Linked DNA regions of Drosophila melanogaster. The protein of the gene in region 2 purifies or fractionates together with the protein of the main gene of each other region. This does not show direct contact. Each region holds a gene or a part of one and is shown on either strand. Other genes may lie near its edges.

What was found.
Region 1: the proteins of gammaSnap2 (region 2) and Ykt6 purify together in Drosophila melanogaster (affinity purification with mass spectrometry, with the first as the bait; one large-scale study listed by BioGRID). This does not show direct contact.

Annotation. Positions count from the first base shown.
Region 1 is NC_004354.4:7,918,679-7,922,763, reverse strand, and holds Ykt6 (YKT6 v-SNARE), read right to left. Parts: upstream 2,356-4,085; 5' UTR 2,089-2,355; coding exon 1,964-2,088; intron 1,875-1,963; coding exon 1,400-1,874; 3' UTR 798-1,399; downstream 1-797. Other genes in the region: hdm (hold'em), read left to right, coding at 2,633-3,548, 3,600-3,756, 3,860-4,085.
Region 2 is NT_033777.3:10,119,725-10,123,406, forward strand, and holds gammaSnap2 (gamma soluble NSF attachment protein 2), read right to left. Parts: upstream 1,677-3,682; 5' UTR 1,651-1,676; coding exon 799-1,650; 3' UTR 675-798; downstream 1-674. Other genes in the region: ATPsynepsilonL (ATP synthase, epsilon subunit-like), read left to right, coding at 2,302-2,496; knk (knickkopf), read right to left, coding at 2,800-3,427, 3,482-3,682.

The DNA.
Region 1 (4,085 bases), on a different chromosome or scaffold from region 2:
TTTGTTGTGTTGACCAATGCTAATTTTTAGCGAAAAAATTGAGAAGAAAAAATACACATACCAGGAAACACAAATGCAAATTCTTAGCCATTTCGAAGGAGCGTGCATTTAGAACATTGCATCGACTAATATTTACACTTGCATATATTGAAAGCATTTGAATAAATTCTAAATATTACTATAGATCACTAACACAAAAAAAAAATGCATACAATGTTGATGCAAATCAATAAAAAACGAGAAGCCAAGCAAACGCGTTTGAATCAATGTTTGCAGCTTAAGCTAAGTTAGCACACACAATATTATATTAATTATAACGAAACGATATAGGTATGCAGTATAATGCATATATTTATAATGCACCGCCTCCCCTTTCTCCCCGCGCAAACACACAAGAAAATTGCGATGGAGAGGGGGCGAAAACTAAATTGTAATCGATTTACCTATCTTATACTAGGCTATACAAACCGAACCCATTAAACATAACCAAAATCCAAAAGGTTAAACACGAAAACGTAAGGAAAACGCATAAATATGAAAAATGTAACGGAAATCTTTACAAGAAGCGAAATAGGTGTCTTCTATATAATAAATAAACGCCAACAGAAAATCACTTTTAAATTGATTTTGCTTTTTTGGGAGGAATGGAATTTGCACTTAAGATAAAGTGGTACGTATTACATAAATAAAAATAAGTTCATGTGCTATGTACAGAGCTCGTACAAATAGTTTGTACATTTTGCCAAAATTGACAAAGATAAGGTTTGTATATGTGAGCAATGAAAACGAGCTTGGTTCACATTTCCCATAATACTTCTTTATTGAAACGCCCACACATTCCGACCGCCAGTTGCCCGGATCGGAAGTGCGACTGCATGTGTATACATAGGTGCAGCCTTCCGATCCGATTGGTATACATAGATCCGCCGTGGAGGCGATAAGAAGGCCCACAACATCAATAGCTAGCAAAGGGCCAATTTTGGACCGCCGTGCCAACACATAAGTGAAGAGAAGATTATGTTAAGCACATGGGTTTAGATCGTAATCTGTATTGGTAGTAATTAACATTTAGATATCCAAAGCGTAGACATATACAGACAGGTAGACATTGGGTTAGCGGACTATCGTAACTGGCAACTGGCCATCCTATTCATACAGTATATAATATAATATATATATATAGTATATAAAATTAACTAATTCATTTATAAAAAGCAATCATCAAAGCCCAAGTCGCACCGCTCCCTTGGAGTTTGTTTGGTTGTAGTTTGTTGGTGTTATCGTGTTATCCATTATCCTTTGTGTTGTCTTTGATTTGCATTTTCTGGTGTTTCCTGTTGTGGTTGTTGCTTGAGAGGATTAGCGTGTGGTGGGGGGTGATGAGAGGTGCAGCTGTCGTCTAGGTGAAGCTGCAGCAGGAGTTAGTCTTTTTCGCCGTCTTGTAGAACGCCTTGCTCTGCAGCGACAATTTCTCCGACTTGCTGACCATGTCGTCCAGCTTCTCGCCCCGCTCCAGCACCGCCTCGATGGTATTCTTCAGTATGATCTTCGTTTCGTCCAGGTCGTTTTGCATTTTCGTCAGCGGATCTGCTTCGACGGGATTTTGATAGCGTGCTAGAAACGCTGGCAGCAAGTCAAATGAGATAGTGGCCTCCGTGCCATTGGGCCACTGATCGGCCGACACCTTGGCCGTAAAGTCATCCAGAATCTTTGTGATAAGCGTGTGCGCCACGCGATGCGGATACTCATGATCGGCGATCAGTACACCGGCCAGATTGTCCGCCCGCACATAGACATGACACATGTAGGCATCCTGTTTCACCGATTGCCGCAGGGCCGGCTGTGTGCGCTCCACAATCGTCTTCGAAGCGAAACTGCAAGAGGAGGAGTTGTTTAGGGGGGTGTTCGTCATTGATGACTCTTTGAGCCTGCGCCGTTCTTTGGCATCCACATGCATACTCACGTCATGAACTCGTTGACGGTGCCACGTTGGAAAAAGGAGAAGGACTGCAGGTCCGAGGCGGTCTTCAGGAGACGCGCCTCGCTGGCGCCCTTGTGAAAGATGCTCAACGCGAATAGTTTGACCATTTTGAGTGGCTGTGGGCTGCCAAGACTGGGTCTGCGGGTCGCGGGTTGCTCGACTGTTGCTCCTCCAATTAAATGCTTCTGGGGCACTGAGCTGAACGGTTGTCCTGGCTAATCCTACTATGCTCCGGCGGATGGGTTTCACTTTCAGCGCACTGGCATTCGTGGAAAAGTGCGACAAGTGAGTTTGTTTAACGCAGTAAATCTGTGCCGTTCCCCTCTGTGTGTGCGTGTGTGTGTGCGCGGGTGCACATATGCGTAGTGTGTGTCAGCTTATTAGGGATGGTACGTCTGGTATTCGGATGCCATCCGATTATTATCGATTCCAATGGTTACAATTAATAAGCGCAACTTTCTGTAAATGTTTTAATTGTGGTTTTTATCAAACTAAGTTGTTAGCAATACTTTCTGTTACTAACTGAATCTACGGCCATTTGTGGTGTACCATCACTACAAACATCGATAACTACTAATCGGCGGTAACGGCAATGTAACGGTTTTCTTAAGCACTGCAATCTGACTGGTCGCGATTTCTTAAATAATTTCAATGGCAAGGCGTATTAAGTTCCAGCGGTTGGCAGAGATGCGTCCCACAATGACCCGTTTCTCCACCGTTGCCCTGATTGTCTCCAAATCCTCGCCGAACATCTTCTATGACAAGATGAGTGGCACCGAACGAGGGGTTCTCAGCTTGACCATCCGAGATTCCCCCAATCACCTGACCAATTGCAAGTGCTGGGGCCAGCGGGACTGTGTGGATGAGTACGCGGCCATGCTGCAGATCGGCCATGTGGTAGACATTGTGGGCGCTAAAGTGATGTCCATACCGTTTGCTGCTCCGGGAGAACAGCGTTATCAGCCCCAAGCGACGGTCTCCTGCGCCCTGGTGGTCAACGAGGGATCCGGCTATGTGGTGCGCCACGACAATGACGACTTTGGCCAAATAACAATTCTCCAGCAGTTACTCCATCAGCCCATAAGGCCACTTGGTGCGGTCCTTAAGCTGGCGGATGTGCGTTCCGGCTTGGGATTTCCCGATAAGATAATCACCACCAATGTGAATCTACTGGTAGTAGTGGCTGCAGTGCGTCCAGTGCGTCAGATAAAGCGAAAGCTGCAGGGGCCACTAAGTGAGGTCCAGGAGCTGCTACAGTGCTTGGAAGTAATCGTGATCGATGCCAGCTATCCGGAAGGTATGCTGCTCTCCGTTTGGCAACCCGACTGGATACAACGTGCCCAGCAATGGCAGCCACGTCGCACTGTCCTTCATTTGATCGACGTGCGTGTTTCCTACTCGAACTTTCATCGTTCTCTCGTCCTCTCCCATTCCAATTGCACACTTATTTGCGAAAATCCTCAGGCGGCTGGAGATGATTGCCGTCTCTTGCTAGCTTTCGCCGCCACTGTGCCTCTAACAACTTTTAGTGGCTGTGACCAGGCAGAGCTGGACAACATGCCTGCAGGTGAGTAAAGGATAATTAATGCAGTATTATTATTTACTATAACTCTTTCAGTTGCCAGCATTCAGGCGCAGATGACGGTAAGACAGATATATTCACGCGCCGAGGGCGAACTGCAGGATCCGTCCATACATCAGTTTACTGCAGTGCTGTATGGGATGGTCACCAAGTTCGACTTGGATGGATTGACCTCCCACGTCAACAGGAAGTGGTGGGTGTTGTACATCCCCATCCCTTCCTAACCGCCGAAACGCTTCCCACTATCCGTTACATAGTTTACAAGACATATTCTTAAAAGCCCTTTTATTTTACAGCATTGCCTGTCAACAACATATACCACGGAACCTGCAAGATTGCGCCTCGGACGCCTGCCAGCAGTATTTTTCATTGGACAATGATGAACCACGATCCATTAGCTACTTCAATATCAACATTCATTTGTCCGACCAGACCGGCACTCTCGTCGAAGCCCGGTTAGCTGGACATCCGGCAGAACGTATCCTGGGACTTCGGGCTGAAGACTTCGAGCGACTGGCGGAG
Region 2 (3,682 bases):
CTGCAAAGCGTCGACTGACCAATTGCGCTGCCTGATAACGCTAATTGATATTGGATGGACTCTAAATAAATCAACTACACTAACAGCGGGCCATGCAATTTGATTTCGCTTATTGCCGGCCACACTTCATCATGATTGTTCGTTGCGAAATGACACTGCGATTGGAGCGAGTGTCCAGTGGATAAGTTTATTGATGGGACGGCTAATTATACACATGGTCTCAACTGTATCTTATCTGCTGCAGATACAAGCACGGCGAAGAGTCCAAAATAATCTAAAGTCCAATAAGCCGATTGATAACTCAAAATAAAATTAGGGCTTAATGTTAAGCTGGGCTTCCTGATCAAATTGAACACGAATTTCTTAAGTGAGAGCTCCAATTATTTGAAAAGAATTTAAAACACATGCTTTAAAGATTTTTTCGTGAATGTATTTGTCAATTTTAATTTTGAAAACATTTTTTTGTCAAACGTTGCATATTATTAAGCGAATATAATTTTAATTAGAACTCGATGTTCAAAACTATTAGTATAATTTTAGGGATATGTAAAAAATATGTATAAAATGCATAAAAAGTAGTGTAAAAGATTGAGTAACAATAAATTTAAAGGTAAAAAATATGTTTCGTATAAAAGTTGTGGAAAGGCATTATAAATTCACCTGATGCGTTTTCTGAGTTAGCACTTTTTATATTTTTGTATATTTTTAACAGTGTACCTACATTTATGAAACTTTTTCACCTAAGGAACAATAATAAAACTACTACAACATTTATAAACCACATTTTGTAAAAGCTCTTTAGTTTGCGGCATTGTCGACTGCATTTTTGGTCATTTGACGATTTCCTTTTGGTAATGGCACATCTTTAGATAAAAGTGCGTACTCCACGTCCATGTGTCTTATGAATGGAGATGCCAGCATCTTGGTGGCCAGCTCAGGATCCTCGTCGTCAAAAGCTTTGAGTAGGTTTTGTAATGTGTTCACCTCCTGGGGATCACAACGGTTTCCCCATTTCTTGAAGGTCTTCTTGGCATCCACGTAATCCTCTAGTGTTAATTGTACCAGTATTAAAGCAACTACTAAACGGCCAACTTGTCCGTAAGACTTTGTCTGCAGATTTAGGCTTATTTCCTTTTTGAGGGCTTTCGTGGCTTCTTCATATTTTTTGAGTCTGACCAATATCCGGGAAACCTTCGATGCAAATTCCGATGCCTGATGAGTGGAGTCCCCAATCAAGACGACTGCCAGGGCGCGTTTGTAAAATCCCAAAGCCAAGTCAGGATGCTTGGATTCCGTCATTTTGGCGGCTTTATCGAGAGCAGCAGCTGCTGCTTCCGGCGAACCATGTTGCTGGTAGAGACAGCAAGCCCTATTGGCATAGTCCTCCACTTCGGACAGTTTGTCCGTTTCTTTGGCAAGCAGGATAATCTGCTCGTAGGATTTGGCTGCATGGAACCATGACTTGTTGTTTTCGTAACAGTCGATGGCCTTCAAAAGACAATCCTTGCGCTTATCGAAACTTTTGGCAATTCGATATGCGGTTGCTGCCTTGAAATACATACCAGCTTTGGCATACTCATTCGCGGCACTATCCGTCTGTCCTATCAAGGCCTCCGCCTCTTCTATCTTTTTGGCATCAAGAGTGCTCATAGTGCTAAGTTACAACCTTTGCGTGTTGAAAAAATCAATTCAAGTGACTTATATTCAAATAAGTGTGCCCAAGTGCGCAAGTGCCGAGAAAAACACAAAAGGCCGCTCCTTTTCTATGCGGGTATGACACTGGTATTATGGTAATATTAAGTGCTTTACTAAAGTTGCATAAAATATATATTTGTATTTAATTAAATAAATGCATACCATATAATATGCGAGCTTGGGGGGTGAAAAGTAAGCTATATTTACATTTCATGTAAGCTGGATTTTGAATATATTTAAAAAATTGTATCGATTTGGTTTCAAATCGAACTTTTATCGCATCCATAGAACTCCTAGTTCGATTAAGTTTGTAGCCCTGTCTGGATAAAAAAAAAACATCGATAAAAAGACACGTGCTTTGCCTTAAAAGATCTTAAAGTGAGGAGGTAGCAAGGCGCTTTGATTTAACTTACTTTGATATTGTAACTTAATGCAATTAAATATTAACATAGGCTTTACCAATCGTGTGCGAAATCTTGAAAAGAAACCCGTCGCTCGGTTTTATATCGAATTCTTAACGGAAGAAGGTAAGATCCTTTATATGCAGATAGCTTTTTTTGACTTATTATCCTAACATCTTTATAGTTAATCCCATATTACTGCAAGATGAAAGCCTGGAGAGATCTGGGTATTACCTATATCCAGTATTCCAACATCGCAGCCCGTGTGGTGCGAGAGGCCCTGCGCATTGAGCTCCGTGCAGACGCCGCCAAGCGAAACATCAGCCATGTGAAGTTCACTCCGTGGGTGAACGGAAAGCCTGTGCCGCGCAAGAAGGTAGAACGTGAATCCGAATCTTAGGCGCCCATTTCGGTGATTTGTACACCATGTTTCATCCAGAATAACAGCTGCCATGATTCTACAATAACATTTCAAATAAATCTAATTCACTGAAAAAATGATGTATATTAGATTTTTTGTTGGGTCAAAACTTCATAGCTCATTCTTCTAAAGTACAACACAGTTCTGTATTTAAATATCATATAAATAATAATATACACAACATTTAGCATACATTCTACACACGCGTATCAAATACATAGATTGTGACTGCTTAATTTAGACTAAGACACTAAATAGGAGAATCTAAGAATGAGAAAACAGTCAGTTCTGGAGCACGAGCCACGGTAGCAGGATGATGCACAAGGACCAGGATAAGCCCATCGATCCACTCTTCAAGTTGGTATAACTGTCCACGATGTGAATCTTCCAGCCCATATTGCCATGGGTAAAGGAGTTGTAGTACACAGTATCCGGCCATGTGATATTCGGTGTAATTTCCAATAGAGCCGGTTCCCCTTCTACACACTCGGTGATGAGGGATCGATTGAACTTCTTGAAAGTGGGGAAGTTATCATCCAGTCGACGATCACTATTTTGAGGATATCTGGACAGGCACAGGGGACCAGCAGCCGTGGGCTTGGGCCTGCCTCTCCGGGTGAATTCAACACCGGCTAATACACGAATCTCACTCTGCTTTGCATCAGACAGTCGGTCATACCCACCCTGGGGATCATCGGTGATAACCAACGGATGATAGTGCTCCGGCGAGTGAGGATTATTGCCACCCCTAACCTTAAAGGTGTAGGTCAGACCACGCTTTAGGTAAAGCTCTGGAATCATGTAGCCGTTGATGTACCAGGCCAAGCCACTGGACACATGATTCGTCAATCCCTGATAGCCACGAAGTCCTCCAGAGGGTCCCAAGTAGGCGTTGAATGTGCGTACCGTTCTGCAAAACAAGGAACTATATTAAATTTTCATTGCAGGAAGATTGGAGTCTTACGCATCTGTTATCCTGGTTCGCTCCCACACTGGAGGATTAGTCGTCTCCGCTCGTTTTGTAAATGCAAAGCAATCATTAACCGGTTCTGTGGTGTTAAAATCTATCACTATATCGCTCTTGGGATAGTAAGTGTGAAAGGCGGGCTCGTTGTTGGAGTCCAATGGGCCAAATGCCCAGATCACGTAGTTGCTGCGGTCTAGG